Linked DNA regions of Astyanax mexicanus. The protein of the gene in region 1 purifies or fractionates together with the protein of each later gene. This does not show direct contact. Links are inferred from orthologs where the notes say so. Each region holds a gene or a part of one and is shown in the gene's direction. Other genes may lie near its edges.

Region 1 (10,703 bases):
ACTCTTCTTCCTCTCTCACTCTTCTTTCCCCTCTCACTCGTCTTCCCCTCTCACTCTTCTTTCCCTCTCACTCTTCTTCCCCCTCTCACTCTTCTTCTCCCTCTCACTTTTCTTACCTATCTCACTCTTCTTTCCCTATCACTCTTCTTCCCCCTCTCACTCTTCTTCTCCCTCTCACTTTTCTTACCTATCTCACTCTTCTTTCCCTATCACTCTTCTTCCCCCTCTCACTCTTCACTCCTCTCACTCTTCTTCCCCCTCTTACTCTTCTTCCCCCTCTCACTCTTCTTCCCCTCTCACTCTTCCTCCCCCTCTCACTCTTCTTCCCCATCTCACTCTTCCTTCCCCTCTCACTCTTCCTCTCCCTTCTCCCCTATTGCTCTACTCCTACCTCTCACTCTTCCTCTTCTCACTGTTCCTCTGCCTCACAATCTACCTCTACCTCTCACTCTTTCTCCTCTTACACTCTTTCTTCTTCCTCTCACTCTACCTTTCACTCTTCCTCCTTACTTACTCTTCCCACCCCTTTGACTCTACCCCTACCGCTAACTCTTCCACCTTTCACACTCTTCCTTCCCCTCTCACTCTACGCCTACCTCTCACACTCTTCCTCTTTTCTTACTCTTCTTTCCCCTCTCACTCTACCCCTACCCCATCTCTTCCTCCTCTCACACTCTTCCTACCCTTCTCATGCCACCGCTACCTCTAACTCTTCTTCCTCTCCCCCTCTTCCTCCCCCTCTCACTCTTACTTCTCTCACACTCTTCCTTTCTATCCCACTCTACCCCTACCGCTAATTCTTTCTCCTCTCACACTCTTCCTTCCTCTCTCACTCTACCCCTACCTTTCACTCTTCCTCCTTTCTCACTCTTTTCACTTTTACTTTTCCATTTTACTCCACTTTTCCTTCTCTCTCATGCTTCTTCCCTCTCAGTCTTCCTCCCCCTCTTACTCTTACTCCCCCTCTTACTCTTCCTTCCCTCTCACTTTTCCTTTTCTCTCACTCTACCCCTACATCTCACTCTTCCTCCCACTCTCACTCTACCCCTACCTCTCACTCTTCCTCCCACTCTCACTCTAGCCCTACCTCTCACTTTTCCTCACCTCTCACTCTTCTTTCCCCTCTCACTCTTTCTCCCCCTCTCACTGTTCCTTCCACCTTTCACTCTTCTTCCCCCTCTCACTCTTCCTCCCCTCTCACTCTACCCCTACCTCTCACTCTTCCTCCCCCTCTCACTTTATCCCTACCTCTCACTTTATGCCTACCTCTCACTCTTCCTCCCCCTCTCACTTTACCCCTACCTCACACGTTTCCTCCTCTCTCACTCTTCTTTCCCTTCTAACTCTTCCTTCCCCTCTCACTCTTTTTTCCCCTCTCAATCTTTTCCCCCGTTTTACTCTTTCTTCACCTTTCCCTTCTCAATCTTCCTCCCGCTCTCACTCTCCCTCCCCTCTCACTCTTCTTTCCCCTCTCACTCTTCCTCCCCTCTCACTCTTTCTTCCCTCTTACTCTTCCTTCCCCTCTCACTCTACTCTTAACTCTCACTCTTCCTCCCCCTCTCACGCTATCACTATCTCTTCCTCCCCCTCTCACTCTACCCCTATCTTTCACTTTTCCTCACCTCTCACTCTTCCTTCCCCTCTCACTCTTTCTTCCCTCTTACTCTTCCTTCCCCTCTTACTCTACTCCTACCTCTCACTCTTCCTCCCCCTCTCACTCTATCCCTATCTTTCACTTTTCCTCCCCTCTCACTCTTCCTCCCCTCTCACTCTACCCCTATCTCTCACTTTTCTTCCCCTCTTACTCTTCTTTCCCCTCGCACCCTTCTTCCGCCTCTCACTCTTCATTCCCCCCTCACTCTTCCTCCCCTCTCACTCTTCCTACCCTCTTACTCTTCCTCCCCCTCTCACTCTACCCCGATCTCTCACTTTTCCTCCCCTCTCTTTCTTCTTTCCCCCTCACTCTTCCTCCCCTTCTCACTCTTCCTCCCTGCTCTCACTCTACCCCTAGCTCTCACTTTTCCTCCCCTCTCACTCTTCTTTCCCCTCTCACTCTACCCCTACCTATCACTCTTCCTCCTCCTCTTACTTTACCCCTACCTCTCACTTTTCCTCCTCTTTCACTCTTCTTTCCCCACTCACTCTTCCTCCCCTCTCACCCTTCTTCCCCCTCTCCCTCTTCCTTCCTCCTCTCACTCTACCCCTACCTCTCACTTTTCCTTCCCTCTCACTCTTCTTTCCCCCTCACTTTTCCTCCCCCTCTCACTCTTCCTTCCCCCTCACACTCTTCCTCCCTGCTCTCACTCTACCCCTACCTCTCACTTGTCCTCCCCTCTCACTGATCTTTCCCCTCTCACTCTTCTTTCCCCCTCACTCTTCCTCCCCCTCTTCCTTCCCCCTCTCACTCTTCCTTCCTCCTCTCACTCTACCCCTACCTCTCACTTTTCCTTCCCTCTCACTCTTCTTTCATCCTCACTCTTCTTCCCCCTCTCACTCTTCCTTCCCCCTCACACTCTTCCTCCCTGCTCTCACTCTACCCCTACCTCTCACTTGTCCTCCCCTCTCACTGATCTTTCCCCTCTCACTCTTCTTTCCCCCTCACACTTCATCCTCCTCTTACTCTTCCTTCCCCTCTCAGTCTTCTTTCCCCTCTCACTCTTCTTTTCCCTCTCACTCTTCTTCCCCCTTTCACTCTTCTTTCCCCTCTCACTCTTCTTCCTCCTTTTACTCTTCCTTCCCCTCTTACTCTTCTTCCCCCTCTCACTCTTCCTCCCCTCTCACTCTTCCTTCCCCTGTCAATCTTCCTCCCCTCTTACTCTTCTTCCTCCCTCTCACTCTTCTTTCCCCTCTCTCTTCTTCCCCCTCTCACTCTACCCCTATCTCTCACTTTTCCTCTCCTCTCACTCTTCTTTCCCCTCTGACTCTACCCCTACCTAATACTCTTCCTCCCCCTCTTACTTTACCCCTACCTCTCACTTCTCATCCCCTCTCACTCTTCTTTCCCCTCTCACACTACCCCTACCTATCACTCTTCACCCCCCCTCGTACTTTACCGCTACCTCTCACTTTTCCTCCCCTCTCACTGATCTTTGCCCTCTCAATCTTCTTTCCCCCTCACTCTTCCTCCCTGCTCTCACTTTACCCCTACCTCTCACTTTTCCACCCATCTCACTCTTCTTTCCCCTCTCACACTACCCCTACCTATCACTCTTCACCTGCCCCCTCTTACTTTACCCCTAGCTCTCACTTGTCCTCCCCTCTCACTGATCTTTGCCCTCTCAATCTTCTTTCCCCCTCACACTTCCTCCCTGCTCTCACTTTACCCCTACCTCTCATTTTTCCTCCCCTCTCACTGATCTTTCCCCTCTCACTCTTCTTTCCCCCTCACACTTCATCCTCCTCTTACTCTTCCTTCCCCTCTCAGTCTTCTTTCCCCTCTCACTCTTCTTTTCCATCTCAATCTTCTTCCCCCCTTTCACTCTTCTTTCCCCTCTCACTCTTCTTCCTCCTTTTACTCTTCCTTCCCCTCTTACTCTTCTTCCCCCTCTCACTCTTCCTCCCCTCTCACTCTTCCTTCCCCTGTCAATCTTCCTCCCCTCTCACTCTTCCTTCCCCTCTCACTCTTCCTTCCCCTGTCACTCTTCCTCCCCTGTCACTCTTCCTTCCCCTCTCACTCTTCCTCCCCTCTCACTCTTCCTTCCCCTCTCACTCTTCCTTCCCCTCTCACTCTTCTTCCCCCTCTCACTCTTCCTTCCCCTGTCACTCTTCCTCCCCTCTCACTCTTCCTTCCCCTCTCACTCTACCCCATCTTTCACTTTTCCTCCCCTCTCACTCTTCCTCCCCTCTCACTTTACCCCTACCTCGCACTTTTCCTCCACTCTTCTTCCTCCTTTTACTCTTCCTTCCCCTCTTACTCTTCTTCCCCCTCTCACTCTTCCTCCCCTCTCACTCTTCCTTCCCCTGTCAATCTTCCTCCCCTCTCACTCTTCCTTTCCCTCTCACTCTTCCTTCCCCTGTCACTCTTCCTCCCCTCTCACTCTTCCTTCCCCTCTCACTCTTCTTTCCCCTCTCACTCTTCCTTCCCCTCTCACTCTACCCCTATCTTTCACTTTTCCTCTCCTCTCACTCTTCCTTCCCCTCTCACTCTTCTTCCCCCTCTCACTCTTCCTTCCCCTCTCACTCTTCTTTCCCCTCTCACTCTTCTTCCCCTCTTACTCTTCCTTCCCCTCTCACTCTTCTTCCCCCTCTCACTCTTCCCCTCATTCTACCCCTGCCTCTTACTCTTCTTTCCCCTGTCACTCTTCCTCCTCCTCTCACTAGGGTTACCAACCGTCCCTTAAAATCCGTAATCGCCCCATATTTGGGCAGTAAAATACGCGTTCCGTTTTGAATTGATCCGGGACGCGATTTGTCCCGTATTTTTAAGGTGAGTTATTAAGGCGGGTGATTTGTTTCAGAAACACCGCTGCGGCGCTGCCCCCCTCCGCTGGAGAACAGCCACCCCTTCTAAACAGAGTCTGCGACTCTCATTGGTCAAGACACGGAGACTCACAACCAATCAGCCTCTGTTCAGGAGTGGCTGTTCTCTGAGCGTAGGAGGGGCAGCGCGGTGGCGCGTTCTAAATCACTCCCTCCCTATCACAGAACTAGTGCACTATTTACCTCCGGTTAACCCACAATATAGTGCACTATTCCTGTGATTTAGAACGCAGAGACCAGTGCTCACGTACAGCGTTTAACAGCACGCAGAAGGAGAGAGACCAGAGGCTGAGGAGAATACAGGGAGAGGAGAATACAGGGAGAGGGAGCAGTGTCAAGGTTCCCTGTGCGATATGCGTCTCCAGAAGCTGATATGGTATAAAAAAAAAAGCTCATTTGAAAGCAAAAATTGCACAATTTAATTTATTACATTAAAAATATTTATGTTATGAACAACATATTTCTGAACGAAACATACAGTACTGTGCAAAAGTTTTAGGCACCTGTGGGAATTTCAGTAAAGAAAAAGCTTCTTATCTGTGCAGTAAGTGTTTATTAGCTCAGTAAAACACTAAAAATACAATAAATACAAACAGCACTTTTACAAATAGCAGAGCTTTTACAGCCCTGTTCTCCTTAATAAAACATCTCCTAATCTCTCCTCCTCATCTAAGTTTTATAGAGTTATTCCTCATCATATCTACACCTGGTTTGGTAAATTGGTAAAGCAGGTGAGCTGCTGACGGAACTGAACATATACACATGCTGGCTGAGTAGCATCCAGGAGAAAATATAATCTCTACACTTTACTCTTTAGCTCGGATCACAAGATACAACATACGTAGTTAAATATGAGAATTCCTTGTTATGTTTTACTGTATTTATGTTTATTTTTTATTTTTTTTTATTTATTTGCATCTGTTCAAATCATATGTGGTGCTTTTCCGGTAAAAAACACTCATATTACTTTGGTCCCTAAAACGTTAGTACTGTATTTTATACATGTGGTTTGAATTAATCTAATACTAAAAGTGTCTGCCGAAACATATTTTTTTCAACAAACTTAGCATACTGTTTCATGGTTTTATGAAGTTATGTTATAAAATGTATAGACTAATATATATATATATATATATATATATATATATCCCCGTCCCCCGTCCCTTATTTCATTTTCGAAAAGTTGGCAAACCTAGGTGTTTGATCCGGTGGCTTATAATGGCCAGTTAGCTCATGTTGTGTGATTTTAAATAATAGTGTTTTGCTATGGAAACTTAAATGTATGTCAGATTGTTGTGTTTTATGCAGAGAACCGAGTTCAGTGCCGTTTTGAATTGTGAAATATGTATAAAGCAGAAAATGTGTTTAGTCTCGCGACAGGACTACTCTGTACACACGAGCGGAACTAAGCATGCGGGCTCCTGGTTTGTAGTCGGACTCGTTAGTCAGTGGAGCAGATTCTTTGACATTGCAGGAGAGGAGGGGAACCGCTTATAAAAGCTGTAACACGCGCAGCGGAGGGAGCTGCTGATTACCACCATCACCACCGCGCCGCCGCCGCCGCTGAAAGAGTGCAGTTAATATTACATTCTGACTTCTGGCGGAATTATGTACCGACGCCCTTTACAGTCCGCCCTGCGCAGCGCGTTCAGCAGCCGGACCGCTCTGGGGCAGGTAAACACACTGCAGCGGATACACCACCCCACCAGCTCATCCACCAACCTTACAACTCCCCTACTAACCCTTATAACTCCCTCTCTAACCCTTACAACTCCCCAACTAACCCTTACAACTCCGGTTTAACTAACCCTACATACTAGCCCTTACAACTCCCCAACTAACCCTTACAACTCCCGTTAAACTAACCCTTATAACTCCCCTACTAACCCTTACAACTCCCAATTAACTAACCCTTACAACTCCGCCTCTAACCCTTACAACTCCGCCTCTAACCCTTACAAATCCCCTACTAACCCTTACAACTCCCCTACTAACCCTTACAACTCCCCTACTAACCCTTACAACTCCCCCTCTAACCTTTACAACTCCCCCTCTAACCTTTACAACTCCCCTACTAACCTTTACAACTCCCCTACTAACCCTTACAACTCCCCCTCTAACCCTTACAGCTCCCCTACTAACCCTTACAACTCCCCCTCTAACCCTTACAGCTCCCCTACTAACCCTTACAACTCCCCCTCTAACCCTTACAGCTCCCCTACTAACCCTTACAACTCCCCCTCTAACCCTTACAGCTCCCCTACTAACCCTTACAACTCCCCCTCTAACCTTTACAACTCCCCCTCTAACCTTTACAACTCCCCTACTAACCTTTACAACTCCCCTACTAACCCTTACAACTCCCCCTCTAACCCTTACAGCTCCCCTACTAACCCTTACAACTCCCCCTCTAACCCTTACAGCTCCCCTACTAACCCTTACAACTCCCCCTCTAACCCTTACAACTCCCCCTCTAACCCTTACAACTCCCCTACTAACCCTTACAACTCCCCTACTAACCCTTACAACTCCCCCACTAACCCTTACAACTCCCTCTCTAACCTTTACAACCCCCCTCTAACCATTAACTAACTCTACATACTAACCCTTAGTTTCAAGTTTTATCTTATTCTCAGTAATTAATAAATTTCTGTTTTAAATTGTGTATCGGTGTTTTTAGGTCCCAGAGCAAGGTCCTTGCTTAAGTAAGGCATCTTGTCGTGTACTGGGAGCAAAAGCTCCTTCTCAGGCACAAAATCGAGCTCTTCATGGCACAAGAGAGGTGAGTTTCATCACTTTAATATTAACACCAGACTATCCCTTCAGATTCCATTAAATTACTAACCTGCTGATTTGTTTGCTGAGTTTCAATATTTCCCAAGCAAATTTGAAATCCTTAAATCTATGGGAGAAATGCATATTTAGTTTACATACATTATATATAATAAATATTTGCTCCTGTTTTACTCGTTTTACTATGTTAACATCTTATATAACTCATTGTCATTGGCTCTTAAATACGTTTAAAGTTGTATACTGGACAATTTTATATTAATAGCTGAAATTATCTGTAAAAATAAACATACTAGCTTAAAGGTGTTTACTGCTTAAAATGATATACAAACATTAACATTAACGACTTTAGATGTTTTGATCAAAACTTTACTTAGCGAAGTCCAAATGAAACAAAATAGTATGGAAAACGAAACATCTTTTAAAATAAGCTGGTCTGGGGACTTTTATATGCTGGTTAGATTAGTAGGTTCTGGGGTTTAATAACAGATGGATGGAGCTGTGCTGGTTAGATTAGTAGGTTCTGGGGTTTAATAACAGATGGACGGTGCTGTGCTGGTTAGATTAGTAGGTTCTGGTGTTTAATAACAGAAGGAATGGAGCTGTGCTGGTTAGATTACTAGGTTCTGGGGTTTGATAACAGATGGATGGTGCTGTGCTGGTTAGATTAGTAGGTTCTGGTGTTTAATAACAGATGGATGGTGCTCTGCTGGTTAGATTAGTAGGTTCTGGGGTTTGATAACCGATGGATGGTGCTGTGCTGGTTAGATTAGTAGATTCTGGGGTTTAATAACAGATGGACGGTGCTGTGCTGGTTAGATTAGTAGATTCTGGGGTTTAATAACAGAAGGAATGGAGCTGTGCTGGTTAGATTACTAGGTTCTGGGGTTTGATAACAGATGGATGGTGCTGTGCTGGTTAGATTAGTAGGTTCTGAGGTTTAATAACAGATGGATGGTGCTGTGCTGGTTAGATTAGTAGGTTCTGGGGTTTAATAACAGATGGGTGGAGCTGTGCTGGTTAGATTAGTAGGTTCTGGGGTTTAATAACAGATGGATGGTGCTGTGCTGGTTAGATTAGTAGGTTCTGGTGTTTAATAACAGATGGATGGAGCTGTCCTGGTTAGATTAGTAGGTTCTGGTGTTTAATAACAGATGGACGGTGCTGTGCTGGTTAGATTAGTAGGTTCTGGTGTTTAATAACAGATGGATGGAGGTGTGTTGGTTAGATTAGTAGATTCTGGGGTTTAATAACAGATGGGTGGAGCTGTTCTGGTAAGATTAGTAGGTTCTGGGGTTTAATAACAGATGGACGGTGCTGTGCTGGTTAGATTAGTAGATTCTGGGGTTTAATAACAGATGGATGGAGCTGTGCTGGTTAGATTAGTAGATTCTGGGGTTTAATAACAGATGGACAGTGCTGTGCTGGTTAGATTAATAGATTCTGGGGTTTAATAACAGATGGATGGAGCTGTGGTGGTTAGATTAGTAGGTTCTGGTGTTTAATAACAGATGGACGGTGCTGTGCTGGTTAGATTATTAGGTTCTGGTGTTTAATAACAGATGGACGGTGCTGTGCTGGTTAGATTAGTAGGTTCTAGTGTTTAATAACAGATGGATGGAGGTGTGCTGGTTAGATTAGTAGATTCTGGGGTTTAATAACAGATGGATGGTGTTGTGCTGGTTAGATTAGTAGGTTCTGGGGTTTAATAACAGATGGATGGAGCTGTGCTGGTTAGATTAGTAGGTTCTGGTGTTTAATAACAGATGGATGGTGCTGTGCTGGTTAGATTAGTAGGTTCTGGGGTTTAATAACAGATGGGTGGAGCTGTGCTGGTAAGATTAGTAGGTTATGGGGTTTAATAACAGATGGACGGTGCTGTGCTGGTTAGATTAGTAGATTCTGCGGCTTAATAACAGATGGATGGAGCTGTGCTGGTTAGATTAGTAGGTTCTGGGGTTTAATAACAGATGGATTGAGCTGTGCTGGTTATATTAGTAGGTGCTGGGGTTTAATAACAGATGAATGGAGCTGTGCTGGTTAGATTAGTAGGTTCTGGGGTTTGATAACAGATGGACGGTGCTGTGCTGGTTAGATTAGTAGGTTCTGGTGTTTAATAACAGATGGATGGTGCTGTGCTGGTTAGATTAGTAGGTTCTGGGGTTTGATAACCGATAGATGGTGCTGTGCTGGTTAGATTAGTAGATTCTGGGGTTTAATAACAGATGGACGGTGCTGTGCTGGTTAGATTAGTAGATTCTGGGGTTTAATAACAGATGGATGGAGCTGTGCTGGTTAGATTAGTAGGTTCTGGTGTTTAATAACAGAAGGAATGGAGCTGTGCTGGTTAGATTACTAGGTTCTGGGGTTTAATAACAGATGGATGGTGCTGTGCTGGTTAGATTAGTAGGTTCTGAGGTTTAATAACAGATGGATGGTGCTGTGCTGGTTAGATTAGTAGGTTCTGGTGTTTAATAACAGATGGGTGGAGCTGTGCTGGTTAGATTAGTAGGTTCTGGGGTTTAATAACAGATGGATGGTGCTGTGCTGGTTAGATTAGTAGGTTCTGGTGTTTAATAACAGATGGATGGAGCTGTCCTGGTTAGATTAGTAGGTTCTGGTGTTTAATAACAGATGGACGGTGCTGTGCTGGTTAGATTAGTAGGTTCTGGTGTTTAATAACAGATGGATGGAGGTGTGTTGGTTAGATTAGTAGATTCTGGGGTTTAATAACAGATGGATGGAGCTGTGCTGGTAAGATTAGTAGGTTCTGGGGTTTAATAACAGATGGACGGTGCTGTGCTGGTTAGATTAGTAGATTCTGGGGTTTAATAACAGATGGATGGAGCTGTGCTGGTTAGATTAGTAGATTCTGGGGCTTAATAACAGATGGATGGTGCTGTGCTGGTTAGATTAGTAGGTTCTGAGGTTTAATAACAGATGGATGGTGCTGTGCTGGTTAGATTAGTAGGTTCTGGGGTTTAATAACAGATGGGTGGAGCTGTGCTGGTTAGATTAGTAGGTTCTGGGGTTTAATAACAGATGGATGGTGCTGTGCTGGTTAGATTAGTAGGTTCTGGTGTTTAATAACAGATGGATGGAGCTGTCCTGGTTAGATTAGTAGGTTCTGGTGTTTAATAACAGATGGACGGTGCTGTGCTGGTTAGATTAGTAGGTTCTGAGGTTTAATAACAGATGGATGGTGCTGTGCTGGTTAGATTAGTAGGTTCTGAGGTTTAATAACATATGGATGGAGCTGTCCTGGTTAGATTAGTAGGTTCTGGTGTTTAATAACAGATGGACGGTGCTGTGCTGGTTAGATTAGTAGGTTCTGGTGTTTAATAACAGATGGATGGAGGTGTGTTGGTTAGATTAGTAGATTCTGGGGTTTAATAACAGATGGATGGAGCTGTGCTGGTAAGATTAGTAGG
Region 2 (10,796 bases), about 27 Mb from region 1:
CAGAGATTTAACGTGCAGGACTATGCAACATTCCCTGCTCATGTTCGTGTAGAGGAGCTAAAGACTCAAATGCTGGGGCTGCCTTCAGAAGCTTTTCTCCTTCGCCTCACCCAGAACCATTCAAAAACTGCAACTGCTATTATACTTGCTGCTCAGACACGGTATCTATTTTTCAATTCTGATCTCTGCTTGATTTTCCTGTAGAACTCCTAAAAACAAAGGTGTTTCAAATGGTTTTGTACAATATTCACTAATGAATGGGGTTTGTAATGAAGATATGTAAACTGAAGCACCATGAATTTAAGAGTGTATCTTAGCTGCACATTTAAGATGCTGTATGCTGTACTGGAAAACAACTGTTGGTCTTTGAAATCAACAGCAAACCTCACAGGCGTCCTTGTAGTGACTCCGGCCAACAGATTTAGTCCAGTTTGGAGCTAGCATACTTGCTACGATTGCTGCTGCTAAGCAAACTAGTTATACCCAATCTTATTTCTGTGAAACAACAAAAAAAATGCTGAACTTCTTATGCCTTTCTTGCCATGAAAAGAATTTGGCCTTACAAATGTTTACACTTGTTTTGTTCGGATTTGCAAAAATCAAATTTCACATGCTTCTTGCTGTCTGAACCCAATATAGATATGCCACAAATTAGATTTCCGTCCCATTTACAGAGGTAGGTCTGGCCTTGTATTTGTCCAGGGTGCCAGCAGACCAGATAGCTACTAAACTGTGAGAATACATTGTGTGAATAAAACAGAGTTTTAAATCAAGGCCTCCCTGTTGAATTGGATGTGAAAGTTTGATTCTTTTTAAACCCACTGTTTGCAGGTTGGAAAGAGAAACCTGGATCCAGCTTTTATCTTCACAGAAGAGCACATCAGGTAATTCAATCACAGATTTCATGATGGTAGTACACATTTTATTGGGTTTTGCATACATCATTTTTGTACATCCGTTCTTTCAGGTGTATGACCAAGCCTGCTTGAATGATGGCCTTATCCCACATTGTGAAAAACAGCATGTTCATAAACAATTGTTTTAATATAAACCTGTACTGTTATTTATATTCTAAATAAAGTTTGACATTTCTAATAATCAGTTGTTTCACTGTGCAATAATACAGTCCTCTGGTTATGCAATCCTCATTCAGTGTGATTTATTATCAGTCCTGTTTGTTACGAAGATTCATTCTTGAATAGAAGAAATGTCAATCACCTCCTAGAAACAAAAAAATGAGGTTAATTTATAGCATGTAAGTATAAGAAATTAACATGAACTGTTAAATGTAATGATAAACACTGCTATCACTCATGGAACAGGATATAGCAGCAGCTCATCTGTAATTATAACAATTTAATCAGGTGACTGGCCTTGAGGCTGATTGAAATGCGTGTCTCTACTGATGCTCCCACTCTATACCTACTATCAGCAATATTAAGCTCTACCTCAGTAACTGTTGAGTTCATGTATGTATTAAGCTATCACTGCGTATACCCATGTTGTAGCATATTGCATATCCCCCAAAACACGCATTCAGGTTGTACTGTGTAGGTACTAAGGCTGTAACTAATTATTGTTTTGGTAGTCCAATAATCTGTTTTATTTTTTTAGATTAGTCAGCAATTTATTTCTGCTATACTATCCTGGCTCCTTCTTTATTCATCACTTTAAAAAAATACAAATGTGTCTGTTTTCTTTAATGCCCTTTAACTGACTTGGGGACTTAATTGGGCACTAAAATTCGGAATTGATACATTTTTATAATTATGTTGACTACTTTTTACAGCCCTGGTTGGTACTGAACTGTCCTGTCTGTTAAAATGTCTAATGTCGGTTGTATGTATTGTAGTTCTAGTTCTGTTTGCACAATTTGTTGTAGGTTTGCTCTTCATGTTGTCTACAGGTGCTGGTCAACGAATTAGAATAATTTGAAATAGTGCAATCATGAAATTCTTTGAATGCATTTTTTGTGCAGAAAGCAAATCAGGTGTTCACCGCACCTGTCCTACTCGTTAGACTAATCACAGAACTCGTTACCTGGAAAAAAATTGGCTCAGCTGAGCTTTCCAAAAGGCCCATTTAGGCCATTTAACTGTGACACTGTTGTTTTATTGAATTAGAATAATGGAGAAACCGTTTCATTGAATTAGAATAATTTTTATTATAATTACAATCATCACTTTCTCAGTATTTTGTGGCTGCCCCCTTGGCTTGTATGACTGCCTGAAGTCTCCTCGGCATCGATTTGACCAGCTTGTCGCAAATTTCCGCACTCACAGCTTCCCAGGCAGTGGCGATGTTCTGCTTCAGTTGGTCCAGCGTAGTAGGCTTTCTGTCACGAATTTTCCGCTTGACGATGGCCCAAAGGTTTTCAATGACATTGAGGTAAGGCGAGTTGGCCGGCCATGCCAAAACTTCAAGCTGTTTTTTAGTGAACCAATCTTTGGTCGACTTTGCCGCATGAGCCGGTGCAAGATCCTGTTGAAATATGAAGTCTTCTTCGCCGAACTGTTCCTCAACAGTCGGAATCAGGAACGTTTCCAGAACATCTTGATATACGGCAGCATTGACAGTCTTCTTGAGGAAGCAGAGTTTCCCTACACCTCGAGCGGACATGCATCCCCAGACCATAACGCTCTGGGGAAACTTGACGGATCTTTTCACGCACTTGTGGTTGTAGGTTTCGCCACCACGACGCCAGACACGAGGACCTTGGTCACCGAAGGAGATGCAGAAGCGTGATTAGTCACTGAAGACCACTTTCTGCCAGGCTTCAGCAGTCCACTCGCCGTGTTCTTTGGCCCACTTCAGCCGTTTCTCCATTTGTTTCTTGTTCAGCATCGGTTTTACTGCTGGAACGCGAGATTTGAAGCAGAGTTCGCGCAGACGACGGTAAGTGGTTGATCTGGAGACGTCAGCGCCGGTCTGCTTGTTCCACAAGTCGGTGAGCTCGGAAGTGGACTTGAACCGGTTGCTGACTGCGATCTTTCTCAGCTGCTTGTTGTCGCGAGCAGAAGTTTTTCGGACGCCGGAACAGTTGGTGCGCTTGCTGCAGTTTTTCTTGAGAGCTTTGCAGACGGAAGACTGGCTGATGCCGAGCTGCTCAGCAATTTTAGTTTGGGTCAAGCCTTGTTGGCAAAGGGCTTGAATTTGAGCCACTATTCCGGTTGAGAGGTCGCGCTGCTTACCCATGATTGATTTTACAACTTAGAAATTCTACTCAACCCTGACTTTATACTGCACAGTGAACACTCTTCACAGAAAACAAAAATTCGAGCATTTATTCTAATTCAATGAAACGGTTTCTCCATTATTCTAATTCAATAAAACAACAGTGTCACAGTTAAATGGCCTAAATGGGCCTTTTGGAAAGCTCAGCTGAGCAAATTTTTTTCCAGGTAACGAGTTCTGTGATTAGTCTAACGAGTAGGACAGGTGCGGTGAACACCTGATTTGCTTTCTGCACAAAAAATGCATTCAAAGAATTTCATGATTGCACTATTTCAAATTATTCTAATTCGTTGACCAGCACCTGTATATCATACTGTTTGTACCATGATGCACCACAGTCCTGGAGGAATGTGTTTTCACTTCACTGTGTACTTGTACTCAGATGGAATGACAAAAGCCACTTGACTTGTATTGTTTTTTATCGTAAATAAACACATGCAATGTTACCTGTAAACCTGATGGCCTCCTGGTGTTCATTAGGTTAGAATTATGTGCCTGGTTGAGGAGACATCAGGTCAAAGTCTGACAGGTTCCTTGCTACCCAAACTCCAGCTGCAAACAAGCCTAGATTAACTAGGAGATTCCTATAGAAAAAAGAGAAAGGTAAGATAAATACTGTCAAAGGTTATTAGAGGTTATATTAGAGCCTTAACTATGCGCAGGACTGGACACTGGTGATTAAGCTATTGAGTTATTTTTAGGTGATGATTAAAACCCGATTAAAAAACACTGGTCACCAACTCTTCTTGTGGAATCTAACATTTTTTGATTAACCTTTTGTTAATCAAACTTTCTGCAAGTAAAAACTAAATGCACTGAGGAGTGAAAATGCTGGAAGGTAGAACTATTTTAGGGGTACCAAAACATACATAAAAATATTTGATGACACATGATAGACTCCACATTTAAATAGAGGTCGTGACCTAGGGATGCCACAACAGTTTGCCATTGAATAGATTAGCAATATGTTTGTGTTCAAGTATACATTAGTTAGACAGCTTAGCTAGGTTACAGATAATTTTATTATCATTAGCGGTTATCAGATTTTTTTTTATACTTAAAGCTAGTTTAGATAACATACAATGGTTACTTTAACTAAAACTAATGGTAATTCCTTACAGCAGTTATCGGTACCGTTATCTACCCAGCTAGCAAAAGGACGTTGAATCAACATTTATTTTTCCATCCCTATTGAATTAAAACTTTGATCTCCGTCAGCATTGATTTGTTTGTGTACACAGTTTACACTTATTTTACATTGTTTTATATGTATTGTTTTTGTATTGTGTTAAACATTAGTTAAATATGAATATCTTGTATTATTTTTATATATATTGTAAGAATTGACAAGTAATAATTACTAATATTATTAATAGTATTATTTGTGGGGAGCACCTTTCACATAAAAGCATTAATGTGTGTATATTCAGAGCCCCTACTAGAAGTGTGCCATATCGTACTGTAGGCAATAATATCAACAGTTTGGATTTTTTTTTTTCATATTATACCCTAAAATATCATGCCATATCCCCCACCCCTGATTATCACACCAAGGTACTACTTTGTTTGCAGTTTTCAGTGAAATAAAAAAAAATGTGTATATATGTATATATCTGCTAGAGACAGATTTTATCTGTCCAGAATCATTCATTTTACTTTAATCCTGGATATGTGGAGATATTTGGAATGCATTATTACTATTATGACATTCTGGATCATTGACTTATGTTACAAATCTGATAAAATTCTTGATTTTTATTATAAGTCAGTTAGAGGTGTGCCACATCATATCACATGCAAGAATAAAGTGTAATTTTCAATTCAGCCAAGAGTATACCATAAATACTATATTGCCCACCATCCTCTAAAATTCTAAACCTTTAGTTAAGTAAATGTTTGCAACACTAACCCATGCCTATCAGGCAATGCTAAATAAAGGTTGTTTTATGGTTGTTGTTTTTTTCATCATTAACCTTGAAAGATGTGGGTTAATGCAACCAAAAATATCAACACTAATGATGCGTATTAGTCAATGTTAAATAAAGGTTGTTTATGGTTGTTCTTCCATCATCAACCTTAAAGAGAACACAATGCAACCAAAAAAATGAACGTTTATTCAACGTTCTTTACCATTACGATTATCATTTAGTTGTAGCTACTCTTCTAATCATGAAAAGCAATTAGCTTTTCTAAATGCTTAATCTAACATATAGTTAAATAAATAAAATAAGCAAAGACCTAGATCTTCAGTATCTATTTAGCTAACGTTAGCTAATCCATTAGCTAGCAAACCTGACCTGGCTATCCTTAGCTATGGGTTTCTAACAGCTATATTAGCTTAGCTTAGCTTACCGTCTGAAATCGTTTCTGTCTGTCGCGAACCGACAAGCGGAGCTAAACCAGCCACCGATTCCTGGAGATGCCGCTTCAGGCTTCTTTCCTGCCCCACTCATTTTCTATTACTACTGATAAATATATTGAATAGAAAATAAGATAAGGTTATCTTAAGGTGGACGCTAGCTGCTGCTGCACTGCTAGACCTTGTGTAATGGGAAGAAACACGTGAGATTATCGTTTCGCGTTCCCGCTACGGAAAGCCGGATTGCTCAATGTGAGATTTAGATGCAGCATTTAAACCAACGCTACGCACGCCGCTCTGTTTGTCCCTGAGCGCGACCCTGACTTCACAAGCGTCTCTGTACCTTCCTCCCAGTCAAATATGGCAGCCACCAGGTACCGTCGATTCCTGAAGTTATGTGAAGAATGGCCAAGAGACGAAACAAAAAAAGGCCGGGATCTGGGGACTTTCTTACGGCAGAGAGTGGCCAGCGCGTTCAGGGAGGGCGAAAACACGCAGGTAACGATTATATACAGCTATATAACGATTAGGGGGACACACACAAATCAGTGTTGCAGACACGGTCACCTCTGGAGGAATCTGGATAAACACCGAACACAGCTGTGTCTTCCTGTACTAACACTGTCCCCTCGCTTACTGACTACACATGCAGTGTGTATTACTCACATGTGTGATGGATTCTCTTTAACTAGCGTTAGATAGTGATGCCACTGCTGTTTTTTTTTTTATTGATTTCCAAAAACATCATAATACAAACTAAGGCTGCAACGATTAGTCGATATAATCGACAACTAGTACAATGACAATTGTCAACTAATTGTTAATCGTTAACTTTATATTACATACTTTAATATTTTAATATACTGAACTGCTAAGGATTGTTTATAGGGCCACTGTAATTAGATGTGCATTTTTCTCAGCGCAAAGTTTCACTTGTTACGCACATTATATAATATACAATATTTTTTTGTGTATTTGTTTTTATTTTATTGCCCTTAACACACAGTGACGGGCAATCAACATTATGTAACTAAATCAGACTTTACTTACCTACACTTACACTTCACTTACCTACATCAGAATTGATACATTTTTGCATGTTTATTTTATGTTGATTAAACGTTATGCGTATATATGTATTGTTTGTACATTTAATAAATTTAGTGTTTGTGTTCTGATCTTATAGCCTGTACTGTGATCTTGCAGTGCAGAAATCCTGCAGAAATATCCTGAGTGTAGAAGAGGCCCAACCATTCAAAACCTTTAAATGATTACATGACAGAATCCCAACACTAACTGATGCCAACCTAATAACGGTTGTATTAAAGTTGTTTTTCCATCATTAACATTAAAAGATTTAATGCAACCAAAAATTAATGCTTATTTAATATTCACTGCTAATTAGGACTCATTCTTTCCATTTATACCTACCAAATTTACTCTGCAGTGAAAATAAAGGAATTTTTCTGAGCACTCTACAGCATGATAACATCATTGGCACTTTAGGGTTGAGAACTACTGATGAAGATGGTATTTTTGAGAATTGTACAGTAATTTAAAGGAAAATTACACTGAAATGGATTACAATAATTTAAAATTCATTTATTTTATTTACTTATCTTTTTCCTAAATAGATCTCTGACCCAGAAAAATGTGATCAGATGTATGAAAGTTTGGCTCGCATCAACAGCAATGTTTACAAAGAGAAGGTAGGTCTAAACCCAGAGAGTTTACTCAATATATATGCTTGTCATGATAGTATTATTTTCAGAGAGCTTGTAATATAATGCATTTGTGTGTCACATTTTATTATGTTTATTGAAAGAAGCTTCTTTAATACTTTTCCAGTTTCCTCGAGCAAAAGACACAAGTTTTACTGGTGTGACAGTAGAGGAGTGCCGGATGTTATTATCATCAGGTAAGATTTTTCTTTTTTGGTAAATGTTATCCTTTTTTTCCCATCATCATCATTTTATTCTGAAAGAGCTTACCTTTTACAGTTAAATATGTATAAGTGAAAAACATACCTGTAAGGTCAGTCATTTATAAGGAACAGGAATAAAGAAAGTCCATTTTATTGTACTGGGTTGCCAGAGTTAATCAGCATTTCTTCGTATGTTATGATTATTGTTTAAGGACCATCAGCAGATATGTTTTTGTTTTTTTTTATTTGGATTTGTCTACAGGTTGACATTTTGACCTTATAATAAACAGTGTATTTTTTTACCAAAATCTGAATAGAAGTTGGGGAGTGCTTTCTGACAGAACTTGTAATGGCAGTGTTATTCAGGTCATGGAATCACATTGCTCACTATTTACCTGTATGCTATGTTCTATAATCATAGTAGGATTTTTAAGTATGATTTGCATCAACCGTACAGACCATACTAGAACCCAAGTGTATTACTGTTTTGGATTTTAAAGTGTCCAAAAAGTTAATAGGAAGCACATTTAAGATTTATGTAAAAGTAAGTCATACACAACCTCTGCGTATTAAAATGCACAATTTTTGTTTTTGTTTTGTTTAACAGATCTGGACAGGTTGTATTGTCTAGAAATGTGCTGGAACATATAACAAACTTTTTATGATAAATTTTATTTATGAAGATAAATAGAAAGTGTGCTCTAAAATATGCAGTTTGTTTTTTCTTGAGAATTTAACTTTTTACAGAAAATTAACATGTCATTTTAATAGAGGTGCACACACTTTTGCATACAACTCTGCATTTATCTAAAATACATTTCATGTATAAACCTGTACATGCTCATGTAGTATTACCATTTGACCACAAGATGTCCTTCATGTTAAGTACTTATGTATTTGTTGTAATGATTAAGGCTGTTTGTTTTTGCAATGAGACTGCAACCGGACATCCTTTGGTCCCATTATTTTGTTGTATGATGCAGGAAGTATGCAACAGACGGATGAAGAAAAGAAGGGATTGTGGAAGACTCTGATGAACCGATTTTCCTCTAAGCCAGAAGACGCTTCTCCTGAGAAACCTGAAAAGCAGTAATTTACATTGTAAACTCAATCCTGTCACATTTACTATTATAAATGGTTATTTTTGCTTATTGTTACTGTCAGTCTCTGCATGTTTCTTATGCAATGTAGTTGTATAAAAACTGTATTTAATGTGTACATGGCTTGTAAACATTAAAGCCAAATTGTATTAAAATATGCTGAATGTTTTACAGAAACCACACTAAATTATTTCCACAGTCAACATGTCACATGTATTTTTTTATTATTTTATTTTGGAAGAATTACATAGTGCAATTTAAACAACAATATAAAATTAGCATGGAAGCAGGCAAAATGTTAGTATAAAACATCTAATCTAATTTTCACACTTTTTCAATATTGGTTGCCAAGTGTATAATAAGATATCACTTGAATATGCACTTAATGTGATTAAAGGCAGATTCTTGTTATTGACTGTTGAAAATTATATCTTGCTGTTTGTGTGCATTAATTTTGTTTCCTTTTTGTCCACTCTAGTCCTTTTTAGTTTCTGGGTTGTCCCTCCAGATACAGTAGTTAAGGGATGTGGCCAAGCAGAGCCAGGCCATATATGGGACCATCAGGAGTGTAGCAGTACGGTTCACTGGGTACCAAGACACCATGGTAGCTGCCACTGTACCCGAGAGCATCACAAGCTCAATAAGTGCCTGCAGGGAGAAGAGTACGGAAATGTGAGGCACAATAACAGGGCATATTTTTCACTCAACAGTTAGGTAAATACAAACTTAGTACAGTAGAAGTGCAGTAAATATTGAAGAACCACTTTATTGGAACTGTAATAAAGAAAACTGAACTGAATAGGCTTCTACTCTCACCAGTTTTATTTTGTGTGCTCCAAAAAAGATTGGGGTCCAAGCCCAGTTCAGTGCCAGCTGCAGGCCATAAAGCCCTAGTGGAACCAGTGAATTCTCATTGAAGCCTCCCAGCTCTTTCCACACCAGGTATGAACCATACCTAAAACAGAAAAAAATTAAGACAAGACATTCATAATTAGGTTTTGACAAAAGGCTGATAGTAAATAAAGTTGTCTACACATCATTGGTTACTATGCTGTAAAACGTGGATATGAGCATGTGTCCTAATTTTAATTAATCCTTAAACTAATAATACAGGGTCACCATCACATACTAACCCCATGCCAGTGTAGAGCGTGGTCCACACCACTGGAAAAGCAGCATTGGGTGGCCTCCATGATGGCTTGTTAAGTGTAGTGTACCAGGTCTTCACCTCTTTTCTTGTGATGAACCCTCCATAGAGCCCACCAACATGTGGTAAAGCAGTCAGACCCAACAATGGAATCCACATATCTATAATACAGAAGAGAAATCATCAAAAGTCTGTTTATTGGTGGAGTTAATTATTCACAGATCAGGATTTCTTAGTAAGCTGGATCCTTTAAGCCCAACATGTGGACAGCCCATTAGGAATGCTCATTAACTCTATTTCTACTAAACGGTACTGGCAAATTCTTTTTTGAGAACCCATGAACAGAACATTCACTGTCTGCTTGAATCAGGTTTGTGATAACAGGAAAACAGGGAATGCAGTGCATTGTTTTCAGCTCTGTAAAATCCCTATGGCATGAGGCTGCTTTACCACAAGGGAATGCTGTTGAACATGGTTGTAAATACAGTTTGGTCCAGTTGGGGGTGTGCATGTCAAATAAACTCACACAGTTATTTTGTTTGCAAATCTAAGCAAAAAAGAAAAAAGTGACATTTCCTTAAAGGTAGTTTATATGAATATGTGCATAAACCATTTAAGCATTTACAGCACCAGTTTGGACACAGCCCTTTTTATTTCATGTTTTTTTTCTTTATATCTAATTTTTTCATAATTTTATATGTTGTAGATCAATATTAAATCATCAAAACTATGAAGTAATGCATATGCAATTATGAAGTAAACAAAAAGTGTTAAACAAGGAAAAATATGTTTTGTACTTTAGATTCTTCAAAGTAGCAGCTTTTGTTATGTTGCCAACTTTGCCCACTCTTGGCATTGTTCTCTCAGTTGGCCTAATGAGGCTGAACCTGGAAAGGTTCTCCAAATCCTTTTCCTTCACTCTGTGCTCTGACTCATCCCAAACAACCAGGGTTGGATTTTATGTCAGGTGTTTGTGAAGGCCAAACACTTTTACTATTTAATTGCATATGTATTCATTAATAGATTTTTTTT

What was found. The genes of interacting proteins can lie anywhere in the genome.
Region 2: the proteins of ubiquinol-cytochrome-c reductase complex assembly factor 1 (region 1) and ubiquinol-cytochrome-c reductase complex assembly factor 2 purify together in Homo sapiens (co-immunoprecipitation; 3 studies listed by BioGRID and IntAct, counting the BioPlex papers as one, with this or other methods). This does not show direct contact. The link is inferred for Astyanax mexicanus from reciprocal best matches to the Homo sapiens genes UQCC1 and UQCC2.

What each region holds. Positions count from the first base shown.
Region 1 is NC_064412.1:43,866,790-43,877,492, forward strand, and holds the start of ubiquinol-cytochrome-c reductase complex assembly factor 1, read left to right. Parts: upstream 1-5,908; 5' UTR 5,909-6,087; coding exon 6,088-6,153; intron 6,154-7,159; coding exon 7,160-7,261; intron 7,262-10,703. UniProt on the Homo sapiens protein: Required for the assembly of the ubiquinol-cytochrome c reductase complex (mitochondrial respiratory chain complex III or cytochrome b-c1 complex). Involved in cytochrome b translation and/or stability.
Region 2 is NC_064412.1:16,508,080-16,518,875, reverse strand, and holds ubiquinol-cytochrome-c reductase complex assembly factor 2, read left to right. Parts: upstream 1-5,904; 5' UTR 5,905-5,953; coding exon 5,954-6,091; intron 6,092-7,227; coding exon 7,228-7,302; intron 7,303-7,441; coding exon 7,442-7,511; intron 7,512-8,500; coding exon 8,501-8,610; 3' UTR 8,611-9,045; downstream 9,046-10,796. Other genes in the region: si:ch73-15b2.5 (rho guanine nucleotide exchange factor 19), read left to right, coding at 1-161, 832-884, 968-975; tomm6 (mitochondrial import receptor subunit TOM6 homolog), read right to left, coding at 3,722-3,818, 5,587-5,687; tspo (translocator protein), read right to left, coding at 9,092-9,265, 9,434-9,572, 9,751-9,923.